5 linked regions of the Ovis aries genome follow. The protein of the gene in region 4 interacts with the protein of the main gene of each other region in a pairwise test. Links are inferred from orthologs where the notes say so. Each region holds a gene or a part of one and is shown on either strand. Other genes may lie near its edges.

Evidence for each region. The genes of interacting proteins can lie anywhere in the genome.
Region 1: the proteins of TRIM2 (region 4) and UBAC1 interact in binary tests that used the Homo sapiens proteins (3 or more experiments, as listed by UniProt). The link is inferred for Ovis aries from reciprocal best matches to the Homo sapiens genes TRIM2 and UBAC1.
Region 2: the proteins of TRIM2 (region 4) and CIB3 interact in binary tests that used the Homo sapiens proteins (3 or more experiments, as listed by UniProt). The two-hybrid records come from large-scale screens. The link is inferred for Ovis aries from reciprocal best matches to the Homo sapiens genes TRIM2 and CIB3.
Region 3: the proteins of TRIM2 (region 4) and LRRC8E interact in binary tests that used the Homo sapiens proteins (3 or more experiments, as listed by UniProt). The two-hybrid records come from large-scale screens. The link is inferred for Ovis aries from reciprocal best matches to the Homo sapiens genes TRIM2 and LRRC8E.
Region 5: the proteins of TRIM2 (region 4) and UBE2K interact in binary tests that used the Homo sapiens proteins (3 or more experiments, as listed by UniProt). The link is inferred for Ovis aries from reciprocal best matches to the Homo sapiens genes TRIM2 and UBE2K.

What each region holds. Positions count from the first base shown.
Region 1 is NC_056056.1:3,458,687-3,462,186, forward strand, and holds part of UBAC1 (ubiquitin-associated domain-containing protein 1), read left to right. Parts: intron 1-1,875; coding exon 1,876-1,983; intron 1,984-2,869; coding exon 2,870-2,972; intron 2,973-3,247; coding exon 3,248-3,356; intron 3,357-3,500.
Region 2 is NC_056058.1:6,629,666-6,633,165, forward strand, and holds part of CIB3 (calcium and integrin-binding family member 3), read left to right. Parts: intron 1-486; coding exon 487-634; intron 635-1,661; coding exon 1,662-1,857; intron 1,858-3,500. UniProt on the Homo sapiens protein: Acts a an auxiliary subunit of the sensory mechanoelectrical transduction (MET) channel in hair cells. Plays a role in regulating hair cell MET channel localization and function.
Region 3 is NC_056058.1:14,391,051-14,393,744, forward strand, and holds part of LRRC8E (volume-regulated anion channel subunit LRRC8E), read left to right. Parts: intron 1-177; exon of another isoform or gene 178-677; 5' UTR 678-682; coding exon 683-820; exon of another isoform or gene 821-829; intron 830-919; exon of another isoform or gene 920-1,067; intron 1,068-1,631; coding exon 1,632-2,694. UniProt on the Homo sapiens protein: Non-essential component of the volume-regulated anion channel (VRAC, also named VSOAC channel), an anion channel required to maintain a constant cell volume in response to extracellular or intracellular osmotic changes.
Region 4 is NC_056070.1:4,654,207-4,658,243, reverse strand, and holds the start of TRIM2 (tripartite motif-containing protein 2), read left to right. Parts: upstream 1-1,237; 5' UTR 1,238-1,337; coding exon 1,338-1,367; intron 1,368-4,037. UniProt on the Homo sapiens protein: UBE2D1-dependent E3 ubiquitin-protein ligase that mediates the ubiquitination of NEFL and of phosphorylated BCL2L11. Plays a neuroprotective function. May play a role in neuronal rapid ischemic tolerance.
Region 5 is NC_056059.1:59,576,193-59,579,692, forward strand, and holds part of UBE2K (ubiquitin-conjugating enzyme E2 K), read left to right. Parts: intron 1-126; coding exon 127-255; intron 256-895; coding exon 896-970; 3' UTR 971-3,500. UniProt on the Homo sapiens protein: Accepts ubiquitin from the E1 complex and catalyzes its covalent attachment to other proteins. In vitro, in the presence or in the absence of BRCA1-BARD1 E3 ubiquitin-protein ligase complex, catalyzes the synthesis of 'Lys-48'-linked polyubiquitin chains.

The sequences.
Region 1 (3,500 bases), on a different chromosome or scaffold from region 4:
TCTGCCCTGAGCAGGTTGCTGAAGGCGAGCTCTCCTTTTTTTTGCGTGCAGATTTGTTTTCCCGGGAGCCAGTAATTCCTTCCTCGTTTTGTTTGCTCTCTGTGTCGGCTTAGCACTCATTTTTTCAGATTCTGCTCCCAAACTGATACACTTGTCTGAAACCGGGGTCACAAGTGAGGCCATCTGCTGGCGCTGCTCCAGGAGCCACCCCTCAGCTCCTCCGGCCCGTCCATCTGCGTCAGGCATGCTGCGCGGGGCTGACCGCCTGCCTCCGTGCGGCTCCTGCTGCGGCTCCCCTGTCTGCACACTCCCTGACCTCAGGCCTGCCGGCTCGGAGCAGCCCCGTTAGCACACAGGTTGCCGGGTCCGTGCCGGGCAGGCCCAGCTGGGCCCTGCGCTCGGGAGCTGGAATCGGGTCTGCCTTCCTGTTGGGAGCCTCTGCTTCCGGCTTTTTCGGGTGTTCGGCAGAATCCTGTTCTGGCACTTTGAAGAGCTGGGGTCCCATTTTCTTGCTGGCTGTGAGGCAGGACCACCCTCCACTGCCGAAGGTCACCTCCTTCCTGGCCTGCAGTTCCCCACGTCTTCAGAGCAGCCAGTGGGGTAGCTCACGCGTCGGGTCCCTCTTGCTTTAATCTCGATGACCACGGTGAGCCCCGCCCGTCCTGTTTACGGACTCGCCCGATTAGGTCAGGGCCCCCCCCCAACCCCGACCCTGTCCTCCAGTCACTATGCCCTGTGCCGTGACCTGGCCCCCAGCTGCAGCCCACCTGCTCACGGGCCCCGGGCCAGGCGGCCATGAGTGCAGGAGCCCGTCTTGGGGCCGTCGTGCCCTTGTGCCTGCTAGAGTCAAACGTCTGGTTCTCCTGGGTTGGGTGGGGCCAGACTCCCACCAGCATCTCTGAGAGGCGGAGGCCTGGAGGCCCTGTGTGCAGCCGTCAGTGGCTGCTGAGGGAGCGTGCACGCTCGATGGGCCTGTGCCCCGGTCCCCAGGGTGTCCCTAAGGCGTCTCCAGGGCTGGCGGTGGAGCCAGTCTGCCCCACTCTCCTTCCTCTGTGCCTGGTCTGTGCCCCTCCCAGGCTGCTCGCACGTTGCCCCTGGAGATTCTGGAAGTTCTCTGGGTACTTGTTGGTACTTTCCCCGCCTCATTTTCCCTTTTCTCTCTCTGGCCCTCCCGTGGGGGGGGACCTGCTTTCTGAGAGATGCTTGTTCTGCGATGACTGGCACAGCGTCCCCTGCTCTCCTGCCTGTCTGCACTGCGCAGCCTCGCTCTCTGCTTTCCAGGCCCGTCCTTCTCTTCTCTGCGCGTCTCTCTCCTTCAACCCCCTTGCCCCACTTCTGTCTCTGTCGCGCTCGTTGCAGACTTTCTTCACGTCCCTGTCAGAGGCCCTGGGAGCTCACTGGCCGCTCTGGGCCTGGTGGGTCGTGCCCCCCGCCTGCACCTGCATTCTCCTGCCCAACACCCCAGGAGCCAAGTGGCGTGGGGCTGGGCCTGCCGTCCGGGGTCAGCATAGTGCCTCTCCCCCTGGGCTCAGGGCTTCTCAGGCCGCGCCCAGGGACTCTCCACGGCCCCTCTGCGGTCTGCCCGCCCGCCCAACCGTTGCTCCCGGGCGGTGATCATTCGGTGACCTAGGAGGCAGTGTCTGTCTTCCCCACCCGGTGCCGCCGCACTCCGGGGCCAGCAGGCCACGCCCGCCCAGTGTTCTGTCCCTGAGGCCACGCACAGAACCGTCCAGAAGCCTCCCTGCTCGTCAGGGCGTGTGGCTGCAGCCCCCAGGACGCGCGTGCTCCCTGGTTAGGGCTGTTTGTCAGAGACCAGTCTTGCCTTCCGCTGCTCTTACACTCACGTCTGACCTTCCGATTCCTCTCCCGTGTTAGAATAAACAAGAGCAGAGAGCCCCGGACAGAGACGCTATCTTCCGAGCCACCGCCAGCCTGCCTTCCCACAACATGGACCGGGCCGTGGTGCAGACCAGCGCGAGGGACGTGAGTGCCCGCGGGGGCTTTGTGGCCACAGGGGGCCGAGGAGACCTCCTGAGAGCACTTGGGAAGCAGGGTGTAGGGGGTGCAGGAACTCTGCGCTATATTGAAGCTTTTTTGTAGGCAGATTAATTCAAGATAAAGGGTTTAAGAAGACGTTGAAAGGCAGGGCCAATAGGATTCGATACTCTGGGGAAATGTGAATTTTCTGAGTTTGGCAAAAACCTTTTAGAGAGAAATCTGACTCTTGCTTATTTTGGATCGGAAGGTTCTGAGTTAAAGCAGAGCATTTCCAGTGCTCCCAAGCCAGGGCCGGGCCAGGACTCGGTGCCCGCTGGGCAGGAGTCGGGGGTGGTGCCCCCAACACTGCGGATCAGTCTGCAGGCTCTGCCACAAGCTGGTCAGTTCAGGAACACTCCTCTGAGGGTCTCCTCCAGAGAGTTCTATGTTCGCCAGGGCATTGGAACCCGGGCACATGTATCTCTCGCTGGCCAGCGCGTGTGTCTCTCACTATGGCTGAGCCTCAGTGTCGGGGAGACTGGAAATTGGTGGGTTTCTGATGACATTGCCAGCAGACCCCCACTGTGTTGAGAAGATGAACTTGAACTGGTTGCACTGAATGCTAGAGGCCCACATCAGTGGAACCCATGGAATCCGCCTGTTTTGTTCAGTGAAGCCTAAGCTCTCAGCTCGCTTAGCAGCCATTGGGCCAGACGCCTCCTCTGGGCTGGAGCTGAGCGACGGGTCCTCTCCCGCCCGCCCTGCTGAGAGCCCTGTTACTCTTCTGCCCAGTTTTCTGGGCGTGACTTGACGCACAGATTGGGAGTTTCAGGCCAGGGGTGTTGTCTCGGATCCAGGCAGCTTTGTTGAGCATCTTGTGCTTTCACCGCAGTTCCAGACGGAGCTCCGGAAAATCCTGGTGTCTCTCATCGAGGTGGCTCAGAAGTTGCTGGCGCTGAACCCGGATGCCGTGGAATTATTTAGGAAGGCAAACGGTAGGAGCGGGCCCGGGCGGAGGCCCACCCGTGGCCGCCACTGTTCACACTCCCCACGGAAAGGCAGTAAACGGGGCCTGGTGGACGCCTCACACTGTCGCCCGTGCCTGCACGGCAAGAGCTGATGGGTCTGTCTCAGGTTTTCTGAGGTGTAAGAGGTCAGCCACAAAAGTCTGATGCTGAGGCGGGCGCTGGGCCCGCGGGGAGCTCGGGGAAGCACCCCTTGTGCGGCCGGGCATGCCCCGAGCCCTCACGGTGCCACGTCTGGCCCGCAGCCATGCTGGACGAGGACGAGGACGAGCACGTGGATGAGGCGGCCCTGCGGCAGCTCACGGAGATGGGATTCCCGGAGACCAGGGCGGCCAAGGCCCTGCGGCTGAACCAGTACGTCTGGGCCCCACGCCGCGGGTGACGCCCCTCTGCCCCGGGCCCCATGACTGAGCCGCCTCCGGTGCGCATGAGTGTCGGTAGAGGACCCGGACACGTGTTCCAGAAGCACGGCACCGGCCGCCTCCAGGTCTTAGAGGG
Region 2 (3,500 bases), on a different chromosome or scaffold from region 4:
CTGTGCTTCAGAATCCCCCTCCATAATTCAGCTTCTCCCAGGACGAGTCTTCAGTCTCAGGCAGCCTGTTCTCTTGAGGTAGTAAAGGGAAACACCAACTGCCCCAGATTTCCTCCCATCAGCTCTGCAACAAGCAGAAATGAGGTTCCTCCACCCCAACTGTTTAGAAACTCTCCCGAGGCAGCCTCTGATTGGCCATCTCGAGTCACATGATCATCCGAGAGGCACTCGCCATTGCCAGGTGAATGGAAATCCCTGATTGGCCTCACCGGGGTCATGTGACTGCCTCTGAAGCCAGAACTGGGGTTAACTGGCGCCCAGGCCATAGAGGAGGAGACTGGAGTTGCCTGGAGTCCCCTCCAGGGATCATAGGAGGAAGAGAGTCTTGGTGAAGGGTACTCAGAGGTTCCCAGGAAGGTGGGGGCTGACGGTGAAACCACACGGAGCCCCAGAAAACCTGGTAAGGGATGGATTTCCTGTCTCTAGGACAACCCCTTCCGTCAGAGGATCGCCCAGGTCTTCTCCGAGGATGGGGATGGCCACATGACCTTGGACAACTTCCTGGACATGTTTTCTGTGATGAGTGAAATGGCTCCCCGTGACCTCAAAGCCTACTACGCTTTTAAAATTTACGGTGTGTGCGCAGACCCCAGGGTGGGGAAGTGGGAACGAACCCAGGTCTTGGGTCAGGGACTGCATGGCCATCGCCTATGCCTCACCAAGGGCTCTGAGGCCCTGCCTGGCCCTGTCCTTCACCCCACCTTGGTACCTCCCCCTCCACTCTATCCCTCTGGTAATTCCATCCAGCTACACTGGCCTGGCTGTCTCCCCAACACATCAAACCCTTTCTGCCTCTGGGCCTTTGCCTCTGCTGTGCCTTTTGTCTAGAATACCTTTCCGCTAGTTCCTTCTTACCTTGATATTTCGGTCCAGAGTAGTCCCTGCCTCACTGCCCATGCCACATGCAATTTCTCTCCTAGCATGGAGCAGTGCTGCTTAACTTCTTGTTCATTCGTCTGTTCACATCTTGTTGATTTTCTCTCTGAAGAGACCCAAGAGCAGTGACAGTGTTTGGTTTGCCATCTGTCTCTGGCACACAGTAGGTATTCAGTAAATATTTGTTGAATGAATGAATGAAAACTTACCACAGTGCCTGGCACAAAGTAGGCACTCAATAAATACTTATTGAAAGAGGGAATGTATGAAAAAAATTATCAGTTGCTTGACATGTAGTAGTGTTAGTCTCTTAGTTGTGTCCAGCTCTTTGCGACCCCATGGACTGCAGCTTGCCAGAGTCCTCTGTCCATGGGATGCTCCAGGCAAGAATACTGGAGTGGGTAGCTATTCTCTCCAGGAGATATTCCCCACCTGGGGATTGAACCTGAGTCTCCTGCGTTGCAGGAAGATTCTGTACCATCTAGGCCCCCAGAGATTGACACATAGTAAGTGCTCATTAATACTTGAGTGAGTGAATGACCTCCCAGCAGTTACCTACCCAATTCCAAAGCAAGATCTGGCTGTTAGCCCAGGGTCTTGGGTTCCCTCCACTGCCTCAGTTTCTTCCTTTGTCACATGGGGACAAGATGTATTCACCACTGGCCCAGCCTGCCTGGTCCCTGTTGTCTGGTCACCCCCATGTCCCCACTTGTCCTGCTTTGCAGACTTTAACAATGATGACTACATCTGTGCGTGGGACCTGGAGCAGACGGTGACTAAGCTGACTCGGGGGGAGCTGAGCACTGAGGAGGTGAGCCTGATATGTGAGAAGGTGCTGGATGAAGCCGATGGGGACCACGATGGGCGGCTGTCCCTGGAAGACTTCCAGAACATGATCCTTCGGGCACCAGACTTCCTCAGGTGATATTCCTCTCCACTCTGCACAATCCATTCCCATGTATGAAAGGAGCGCTCACAGATTAGATCCACAGACTCTGAAATTTCCTCCATTTTTTCATTTGTGACCTTGGGGAACTTTCCTGACCTCCCTGGCCTCAGGCTGTGTCTTTTGAATGGGGCTAATTAGAGACCCTGGGGACACCTCTTGGGGGTGGACACGCTCTTTGGGTGAGTAGAACATGGTTGGAACTTCAGCCCTCACTTGCCTTAACATTTTGCAGTGAACAGACTGGACAACTGTACTTGGCAACCCTAGGGAGAATCAGCGCTCTAGGGAGGATTGTTGTTGTTCAGTCGCTCGATCGTGTCCGACTCTTTTGCAACCCCATGGACTGTAGTCTGCCAGTCCAAGGGATTTTCCCGGCAAGAATACTGGAGTGGGTTGCCATTTCCTTCTCCAGGGGATCCAGCATAGATTAAATGAGTTAATAAAGGGGGTGGGTGGGAATACATAGAAGATGTTTTTATATCTCCCATGAGCTTGGAATGGTTTTTACATTTTTAAATGATTGGGGGAAAAAAAACATACTCCACAACACATGAAAGTGATATAAAACTCAGATTTCCATGTCCGTTGCTGGTTTTATTGGCATACAGCCATGCCTATTTGTGTTCACAGTGTCCACAGCTGCTTTTGAGCTTTAAGGTGACATTGAGTCATTGTGCAAAGTTGTAAATATCAATCATTTGGCCCTTGGCAGAAGGAAGTTTGACTGACCTTGAGCTAGTACATGGAAAGAATTTAGAGCAGTTCCTTGCACACAGTAGGTGCTCAATAACTGTGCGCTATTGTTACTGTTGTGGCTTTCATGCCCAGAGGACCTCCTTCCTCTACCCCGGATAAGCAAGGCTGGTCTCGTGGCCACTGAGACATGAATAATGACATCACGATGAGTCCCTTGCCACTGACTGAGTACCCGATGTGTGTCCTGCTCTGTGTATTTGCCTCTTTTTAGCCCTCATTACTGTCTGAGCCACCAAGCTTCCCTAGAGGCTCGGATGTTAAAGAATCTGCCTGCAATGCAGGAGACCTGGATTTGATCCTTGGATGGGGAAGATACCCTGGAGAAGGGAATGGTTACCCACTCCAGTATTCTTGCCTAGAGAATTCCATGGCCAGGGGAGCCTGGGCGGCTACAACCCATGGGGTCGCAAAGAGTTGGAAATGACTGAGCGATGAACACTTTCCATTCTTTCCATTCTTCCAACACTTTCCACTCGTTGCAGTTCAGTTAAAGAGGGATAGCTGTTACCCCCATTTTGTCGTTCAGTCTCTCAGTTGTGTCTGACTCTCTGCGACTCCATGGATTGCAGCATGCCAGGCTTCCCTGTAATTCACCATCTCCCGGAGGTTGCCCAGACTCATATCCATTGAGCCTGTGATGCCATCCAACCATCTCGTCCTCTGTCTTCCTCTTCTCCTCCTGCCTTCAATCTTTCCCAGCAACAGGGTCTTTTCCAGTGAGTCAGCTCTTCGCATCAAGTGGCCAAAGTATTGGAGCTTCAGTTTCAGCATCAGTCCTTCCAATGAATATTCAGGACTGATTTCCTTTAGGATGGACTGGTTTGATCTCCCTGGTATTCAAGGGACTCTTCAAGAGTCT
Region 3 (2,694 bases), on a different chromosome or scaffold from region 4:
GAAACCCAGGTGTCTTCGTCACTGCCACCCTCCACCCCCCAGGGCCAACAAGCCTTCAGCTCCGCCACTCCCTGCCCCTGGGGCCGGTAACCAGAGCCAGGCTCCAGCCGGCTTTTCCGGTTGGAGGTTGGAGGTGGTGCCCAGAGCGCCCCTGAAGGGGGTGGGGGTCCACGCCCCGGAAGTCCCGAATCTCGGGACTCTGTGGTCCAGTGACGGAGGGATCCGGGGCTAGCCGCCTGGGTACCGGGTGTCTGGAGTCAAGGAAGCAGAGCGAAGTGTTTGGGACCGGCGTCAAGGGTGGGAGGAGATGCCTGGGCTTGGGGAGAAGGCCACACCGACGAGCGGTGGTGCAGCGGCCTCGTGGAATGCCCCTTCTGAACTCTGAGTGGTCAAGCCCAGTCCCATCGGGGCAAGGGTGCCTGGGAACAGAGGTGGTGAGGACTTACCGAGCAGTAAGTACTTACCACCTTAAGCCAAGCATTCAGTCTTAGTCGCTTGGCTCCAGGAAGGAGGTGAGGTCTAGGGGACGGGGGAGGGGAAGGGAGCGCACAGCCGTGGGTTCTGCCGGAGTTCGGCGGGGCGGAGCGCGGATACTGGGAGCAGAGGCGTTGATGCTGGCTCTTCTGGGGGCCTGGCTCACAAGGCGCCCTATCCTGAGCTTCCTGCTGTCCTCATAGGAAGGATGATTCCGGTGGCGGAGTTCAAGCAGTTCACGGAGCAGCAGCCCGCCTTCAAGGTGCTCAAACCTTGGTGGGACGTGCTGGCCGAGTACCTCACCGTGGCCATGCTCATGATCGGGGTCTTCGGGTGCACCCTCCAGGTAAGGGGCGGGGCGGGGCGGGGCGTGGCCTGGATGGGGCGGGGTTTCCCAGGGGCGGGGTCTGGGAGATTCCGGAAGTCTTCCCTTATCCTATCATAGTTCTAGAGACTGGACATCCGAAATCAAAGTGTTGACAGGGCTGGTTCCTTGCGAAGGCTGTGCCTCTCGTCTAGACTCTGGTGGCCTCAGGCATTCCTTGGATGATAGAGGACACTCTCCCTGTATCTTCACAGCATCTTCCCTCAGTGTGAGTGTGTGTGTGTGCCCAAATTTCTCCCTCATCTTAACTTGATTACATCTGCTCTGCAAACACTATTTCCAGATAAGGCATCAATCACAGGTCAGGTATTTGGGGCTTAGGACTTCAACATCTTTTTTGTTTAATATTTATTTACCTGCACCAGTTCTTAGTTGCCTTATGTGGCATTTTTACTTGCAGCCTGTGAGATCTTCATTTTTTTTTTAAGTTGGAGCATGAACCCTTAGGTGTGGCATGTGGGATCTAGTTCCCTGACCAGGGATCAAACCCAGGCCTCCTGCATTGAGAGTGCCCAGTCTTAGCCACTGGGCCAGCAGGGAATTCCCTAGGTCTTTAACATCTTTTTGAGGAACACGAATCAACCCAGCTCTTTTATTTCCAGACAAAGTCCCGTATTCAAAGGTTTAATGACTCTTCCAAAGTTACAGCCAGCTGAGGACAGCTGGGGATCAAGGCAGACCTCTCCTGCTTGCAGCCTGCTTCCTCTCCCTGTAACTTCCCAGGCCACCCCAGATCCTTCACCCTCTTTCATACCCTCGCCCCCATCCCCAGGTGACGCAGGACAAGATAATCTGTCTGCCCAGTCATGAACCCCGGGAGAATTTATCTGAAGCCCCGTGCCAACAGCTGCTGCCCCGGGGGGTCTCAGAGCCCATGGGGGACCTCCGGGAGTTGAGCGGCCTCAAGAACAACCTGGACCTACAGCAGTACAGCTTCATCAACCAGCTCTGCTACGAGACGGCCCTCCACTGGTATGCCAAGTACTTTCCCTACTTGGTTGTCATCCACACGCTCATCTTCATGGTCTGCACCAGCTTCTGGTTCAAGTTCCCCGGCACCAGCTCCAAGATCGAGCACTTCATCTCCATCCTGGGCAAGTGTTTTGACTCGCCATGGACTACTCGGGCACTGTCTGAGGTCTCCGGGGAGAACCACAAGGGCCCTGCCGCCACCACAGCTGGGCAGGCGACAGTGACCTTGACCACAACGGCAGGGGAGGGCGAGAAGGAGAAGGTGTTGCCAGAGCCCGAGAAGGTGGTGACAGAGCCCCCAGCTGTCACCCTGCTGGACAAGAAGGAGGGGGAGCAGGCCAAAGCCCTGTTTGAAAAGGTCAAGAAATTCCGTGTGCACGTGGAGGAGGGTGACATCCTGTACACCATGTACATCCGGCAGATGGTGCTCAAGGTCTGCAAGTTCTTGGCCATCCTGGTCTACAACCTGGTCTATGTGGGGAAGATCAGCTTCCTGGTGGCCTGCAGGGTGGAGACCTCGGAGGTGACAGGCTACGCCAGCTTCTGCTGCAACCACACCAAAGCCCACCTCTTCTCCAAGCTGGCTTTCTGCTATATCTCCTTCGTGTGTGTCTACGGGATCACCTGTCTCTACACCCTCTACTGGCTCTTCCACCGGCCCCTCAAAGAGTACTCCTTCCGGTCAGTTCGGGAGGAAACTGGCATGGGCGACATCCCCGACGTCAAGAACGACTTCGCCTTTATGCTGCACCTCATCGACCAGTACGACTCGCTGTACTCCAAGCGCTTTGCTGTCTTCCTCTCTGAGGTCAGCGAGAGCCGCCTGAAGCAGCTCAACCTCAACCACGAGTGGACTGCCGAGA
Region 4 (4,037 bases):
AAATGGCAGTCCATTCCAGTATTCTTGCCTGGAGAATCCCATGGACAGAGGAGCACGGCAGTCTACAGTCCATGGGGTCACAAGAGTCAGACAGGACTGAGCAAGTTAGCACGCATGCACGCACCGGAGGAGTCTCACTTTAATATAAGTTAAATATCAGTGGCAGAATCATAAATATTTTTAAACTACCATAGATCAGAAAGGACAGTATCTTTGGATTGTTCTTTTTATAATCAAAATCAGAAAAGCCTGATACAAAATTTGTGGAAATGCTTATATTTCAATATTTTTCTGTTTCTCTGCTAGTCAATTTTGATAGCTGTTGTGCTTCCTTCATAAATAAGGGAACTAGTCTCAATTGTAATGACTGTGCTTTTCTCAAAGATTTTATGCCTATAATTTACACAATACCACAAATCAGCCAAATAGCTCTTAACCTTATTCTTACTTCAGTGTATTATTTAGAAATTTTATTTTAAAAAGCCACAGTTTATTTTTGGGTTCTTGGTTATTATCATAGGGTTTCGACAGTTTAAGCTGGCCTAGTAGCTTTACAAGTAGGATTTAGTTAATTTCAGAAGAGAGAAAAAAGCCATTGCCTTTGCCTTCCCCCCTATACACTGAATTAACTCCTGTTTTCTGTGTGCAGGTATGATCAGATTGTGAGCATTTTTTTTTTTAACGTGAGGCATATATATTTGGCGAATAAAATGTGCCCACTTCTCTGAGTTCTGAAGACAAACCAATCAAATCAAGCATTTTTTCTGTAAATGTAGTAAGTACTTATCTGATATTCTATTTAATAACAAAAACATATCATAAAAGCATCTTCCTTGGACTTTGTTCCTTTCCTTTGTTGTTTGATTGAAAAAGCCCTTTCTACCCCAGTGAATACTCTATTTATTAAGCCCAGGAGACCAGAGATGGTTAATGCAACACGAACGTCTGTGACTTCTAAAAATTTGCATTATTTTGTGTGAGGCATCAAACTCCTCCTTGAAAATCATCTTCTGCGGGCAGTGATTAAACTTTTCAGCTCAGACCCCTTTCATGCTGCGGGGCTGGCCCTTCTTATTCGGCGTTCCTTGCTCTCTGTCTCCCCGTCTTCAAAATGAAACATGATATCCTCAGCCAACAGAGCCCAGAGAGGCTGGTCATTGGCGCCCATTGTCCCCTGATGCTGCAGCCCCGCCCCCTTGGCTGGCGCTGACAAGCTGTTTATATTTTTCTAAGGGCCACCCTTTAACTCGGCGGCCTGATGACTATAATGGGCCCGATTGTCTGTGGGTTGCAGAGCGCCGAGGCCCCACATCCAAGGAGGCAGGGGCCCGTCTCTGATGCACCGGAGAGGCGGATATGGAATACCGGTAAGGGCGCTTCTAAGGGCACTGAGATGCCTTTTCTGGGCTCACAGGCGGCTCCTGGGCACTGTTTTGGAGAAACGAGTAGTGATCGAGTTGCTAGCTTTTTCCTGGTTTTAATTTTCTGCCTGCTCAAGACGGAAGGAACAGATTGGGTCTCTGGATTTGCTGACGAAGCTCATAGGGATCCCTGTGGATCCAGGCAAGAACCGAGAAGGGAGGCAAAAATCCAGGGAGAGACGCACGCAAGCGGGTTTGACACCAAAGCCACATGAAAGAGGCAAAGCGCGGGGCTGCCTGGTGATGCCGTGAGACTCTAGGGCTGTTTTCTCTTCTGACTTAGCCGTTCGCAGCCAGAATTTAGCTCTGCCGCTGTGGATTTCTGTAAGCCAGCTGTCGGCCAGTGTAACTCGGTCAGCCTCTTTTGAATGCGTCTAGAATCTGCGGGGTTTTCAAAGGGCAAACCGTAGTAATCTTGTGTGCCATAAATTGTTTTATTCAGAAACGTGAGAACGGTTTAGAGCTGCAGGCTGTAAAGTTTTTACTGCCCCATTAAAGTGTTCAGAGGGTACTAAGGCCGGCTGCAGTGGGGCTCGGGAATGAGGGAAAGCCTGGGGCGATGAGAGCATTTGTCCGTGACTAGCCGAGGAAGAAACCCGGGGGCCCTGAAGACCTCACGTGAGAGGCGGGAGCGAGCCCAGAAAAGGGCTGCGCCAGCCCTCCTGGGGTTCTGTCTGGTTTCTGCGCGTGAGTGAAGGAGGGCGGAGAACCGTTCAGGCATCCGCCTCTGGTCCCGGATTGCAGCATCGTGGATGCCCCCCGCCCCCCGCTTAGGCAGAGTAAGGCACCTCGCCTGGGGCAGAGGGCCACAAGGGGCAAGCAGGGAGGAGGTGCGCAGTTACTGGGCTGCAGGCAGGGACGAGGGGCTGGGCCTGTCTAAAGCCTTGGGAATTGCTTTAAGAATTCCCGCCTCCTGCTGAATAGAAACTCACTATGGCAGCTTTGATGGGAGGCTTTTGTCTCTTTGCCTTTCACAGGAGCCTCACGGTGCAAAGTCAGTGAACCCAGTCTCTGCTTGATATGGACAGGAGCCTTAAAAGGGGAGGGGTATGGCTCAAGTTTTAGACAAAACAAAGGGTGAATTATGGGGCTTTAATGCATCTAGTGCTTTATAAATCTCCCCACCTCACCTAATCCCCGGCCTCAGTACTTATTATCCAGACACAGCATGTTTAAAGCCAACATGATGTAGGGCTCCTGGAAGACTTAAATCAGATGCAAAGTTTTTTTTTAAATGAAGTTGACCCAAAGCATCATGAGTGTTTCAGCGCAGTGTATGAAGACACCTGGTGATTTCCAACTGCGGCCAGGCTCTCCTTCCCTGGTCTGGGTGCCTGAGCAAGGGGGCGAGTTGCCCCATGGGTGCTCTGGTCCAGGAACAGAGCTTCTGGCCCTGCCAGTGCTGCCCTAGAGATATGGGGCTCACAGGTGTGAATCACCCTGTCCTCTTGCCTCAGGCCTCCCAAATCCTGGCTTCCTTCAGGTCATCGTACTCTCCTGTTTCTACCCCACAAGCACCCCCAGGGGATGGTCAGAGAGGTAGAACCAGGAGGAGGTGGTGAGAGCCGGGGTGAATTCCAGGAGATTCCACGTAAACAAGGGCAGCCTCTGCCTGCCTTCTTTTATCAGAATGGTGGGCACTCCAGGCTCTGGAAATCTCAGACACAGCATCATTTTTAGGTACAGAATTTATGCTCATGATAAAAATAGAAGATTTACAATATAGAGTAGTATTCCTCTGTGTATGTGTGTTAGTCACTCAGTCGTGTCTGACTCTTTGCAGCCCCATAGACTGTAGCCCGCCAGGCTCCTCTGGAATTCTCCAGGCAAGAATACTGGACTGGGTAGCCATTCCCTTCTCCAGGGGATCTTGCCGGCCCAGGGATCAAACCTGAGTCTCCTGCATTGCAGGCAGATTTGTTATCATCTGAGCCATCAGGGAACCCTTCTAGAGCTTTTCAATACTGAGGGCTATTATGAAACCAAAGAAACAAGCCTGTGTGGATGAAATACTATGACGATGACAAAGTCTAACAGAAATAGTACCTATCGTTTGTTGAGCACGTACTATGCGCCAGGCCTTTTTGTGCATTTTCTCACTCAGTCCTCCCTAATCCCTTTGAAGTACAATTCTCATTTTATGAAGAAAGAAACTGGGGCACAGAGAGGTTAAGTAACTGGCCCAAAGTCACACAGCTTATTAGTGACCTGAAATGTGAAGGTACACAGCACATCACCTTGTGTTATGAAGTGAGGAGTTTCTGTGGAATAGAGTTGGCATTTTCAAATTTACAGTTTTTCAAGAATCCATCACCACAACCAAAATGTGACCTCCTGTGGGAATGTAATTGGTGGCTGGGAAAGAAAGCCAAGAACCACTTCCTTTAAATGAACGAGAGCGCCAAAGAACAGCAGCCTTGTCCAGCGAGCCAAGTGCCAGGGAGGGCCAGCTGTGGGGCTGGGGGCCCTTGGGCCTGGCCCTGCCACACCACGGTGGGCCTGTGCTGTGTGGTACTGGACCCTGGGAGGAATGACACACAGCAGAGGAACCAAATAACACGGGGGTGAAAGGAAACAGCTGAGTCAGACACTCCTGGCTCCAGCCTGTGATAGAAA
Region 5 (3,500 bases), on a different chromosome or scaffold from region 4:
GTCACATTTAAAAAATCTAATCTATATTTATTTAGAAAAATCAGGTTTTTAGGCAATTAAGAGATGAGTTCCTATTTTGAATACTATAACTGCATTGTCATATCAAACAATTTTTCCTCCATATAGTACAAACAAAATCCTGAAATGTTCAAACAGACAGCTCGACTTTGGGCACATGTGTATGCTGGAGCACCAGTTTCTAGTCCAGAGTACACCAAAAAAATAGAAAACCTATGTGCTATGGGCTTTGATAGGGTAAGTACATACAGGCATGTTGATTTTTATTTATTTGTTAAATTATTGTTGCAAATCCTTGGCTGACAAAAGTGGTTCAGTGGTACTCTGAATCTAATTTTGATAAGCAAACTTTGTTATTAAAACTAGTAATTTTTTTTTTTAAACTTTGGCTGGTTCCAGTCATTGATTTTTTATTTTAAAAAATAATTTTATTTGCTTATTTTTGGCTGTGCTGGGTCTCCACTGTTGCTTGGGCTTTTGCTCTAGTTATGGCGAGCTGGGGCCACTCCCTAGTTGTGGCATGCGGGCTGCTTATTGTGATGGCTTCTCTTGTTGCGGCACATGTCGTTGTGACTCCTGAGTTCTAGAGCACAGGTTCAGTAATGGTGGCACGTGGGCTCAATTGCTTCACTGCATGTGGGATCTTCCCCGACCAGGAATCAAACCTGTGTCTTCTGCATTGGCAGGCGGATTCTTTACTTCTGAGCCACCAAAGAAGCTCTAGCCATTGGTTTTAGAGTTTTTAATGCACTACAAGTGCAGGGTAACTTAAAAATGAAAAAACAAGGTGTGGTTTCTTTAATATAAAGACTGAGTGATACCGTATTTTTAAAATATTTCCTTGAGACTTTATTTTGTCCCCTTTTCTTTTCTACAGAATGCGGTAATAGTGGCCTTGTCTTCAAAATCATGGGATGTAGAGACTGCAACAGAATTGCTTCTGAGTAACTGAAACATAAAGAGAGATGCTGATATAGTCAAGCTTGCCCCTTCTTGGAGGAGCATCAACATCTGTTATTTTTAGGATTCTGCATAGATTTCTTTTAAACTGGCATTCTTGCCTAATGATGTTATCTAGGCACCATTGGAGACTGAAAAAAATCCCTGCTCTGTAAATAAAGCTAATTAAACGTCTGTGTAAATTTAAAAAGGGGAAATACTTTAATTTTTTTCTTACTTAATAGTGTAAAAATTCTTTTGAGCTAAGCTAAAACCATGGAAAAAACATGCTACTTTAGTGTTTAGCAGTATACCAAGACTAGCAAGAGTTTGCTTCAGGATTTCGTTGAATAATTAAGATAATATTTTGAGTGTGTCAGGGCCATTCAAATTGTTGGTGTTGCATCACAGCTACCTTAACTGTTTTTAACATGGATCCTCTGTGCCTGTGAATTTACTTGCATGCTTGTACTTGACTTCTTAGGATGGGTAGCTGAAAAGACCACCATTTTAAGCATTTGAGAATTCTTCAATATGAGATTTATCCAGAAATGAAGATGGTGACCTAGTCAGAGCCTTTTTGTCCTTGTCAACAGACTGGGACAACATATCTGTTTTTCCCCTCTTTCCACACACAGCTAATATTCTAATAATAAATTTCTTTATATTTGGTGGGGAAATGTGCTGAAGGACAGTATCCCTTGCTCCATTTTAGGTCATCCATTTGGAATGTTTTGTCACAATTCTCCACTCTTAAAACTTTCCTATATAAATACTGTAAAAATGGAGCTGCCAATTTTCTTTTTTTTTTTTTTTTTGTAAAAACAGTAAATACTTGATGTTGCAGTATTCCCAGATTAAATGAAAAGAACCCAGCTTAATTTTTCAGTGAGTTTAACGTCTTTTGATTTTTAAACTGATGGACTTTTTCTTTGAGAACTTGCAAGGATGAAATCAACTGTTTGCAGGTTTTTTAGCCTGATTTTGGCTTTATAGAGATTGCTTGCACTTCCCCCTATTAACACATGAAAGCTGTGTTGGTGTTTTACTGTACATACTTCAGATGCACATAGGAATAGAAGTGTGTTATAAATCTAGCTTTCTTTATGATGTTTCTGATAATATGAGAATTGAAAACTTTACCTTCTCTTGTACATAGTCAGACTTTCTATACGTATTAAAGTTAAACTTCACTCCAAGTTTAAAGTTTGAAAATTATTAGTTTTGCAAGCTCTAACACTAATGTGAACATTTTATGAAGGGTGAAATGGATTTGTGTAGGCAGTTCTATACATAGAAACACAGTTCTTATTAAATATTCAGGACCAATGCAAAAATAACAAAAATGTAATGAAATCTGAATGAATTAAAGTAAGGCTGTATATGGAAAGTCATATTATAAAAGGTTTTTGCTTTCTTCAAGTGTTATTTATCCTAAATTATAATGGTTAAGTGTTTGGAAAATAGTTTTGAACAGTAAATTCAGCATAATTTCATTTGACTTCTCAATAATCTTAGAAGCAATAAAAAGAACCATTATTAAATATATTGTAATGTTAAGATGTGAAGGTTCTTCCAGAAACATAAGGTTTTCCTAATTAGTAGTAAAACTCTTGTAGTTGATTTTATTGCATACTAAACACAAGTTGCTGTTTTTTCCCCTTTGTTTGCCTAAGTATAAATTTCTTTATACAATCACCTTCTTTAATTGTAATTTAGTTACTTTCTAAAGATGCCAAAGGAAACAAGATTTTCTTTATTTATTTTAAATAGCTAAAACCATGTACTTTTCTTTATATTTTGAGGTAAGGTTGGAATTGTGTGAAAATGTGGACAGTTTTTGTTCCATTGTTGTTTAGAATTATTTTTTTTTTTTTGTTTAGTGGAGGGTGGCTTGGTAATGTTAGTAATATTTGCATTATTTTAAATATCAAACACCTCTACCCAGTTTACTATTTGCCTGTATTATCAGGGTATATTTAATTGTCCTGTGGTTTGACAAATGAGAGAGAGAACTCAGAAGTTACTAAGGATCAAGCATTGTATACTTTGCTCTTGGCGGCAGCTGTAACTTGCCTATGACTTTTATGCACATTAGTCCCTTAGGGTATACTCATCTAACTGCAATTCAACATCCCCAGTGTCCAGGAAATGGAAAACTACAATATTTGGTATGAGAGGTTCTCCATAATGGATCTTCATTTCAAAAATTTACCTCATTTACATTTAATGTGATTATCTGTTTTCTGGTACATTTCCCACTATCGCCTTCTTACGGGGTTTTTGTTTTTTTTCCTATTTTCTCCTATTTTCTACAGATAGATTTATTTCCCCAAACATAAAAATAAAGGCAGTTGCTTTTTTCTCCTGTCTTATATATGTTTAGAAAAAGAATAGTAAAAGTGCAGGTCTAGGGAAAGTATATCCTGTTGGAAATTATTTTTATAATCCTCAGTGGTTTGTGATTTGTTAGTTGTAAAGGCTTCAAAAATTATAGTTAAATGTATGTGTAGTTTTATCCCATCTGGGCAGACAGTTTGCTG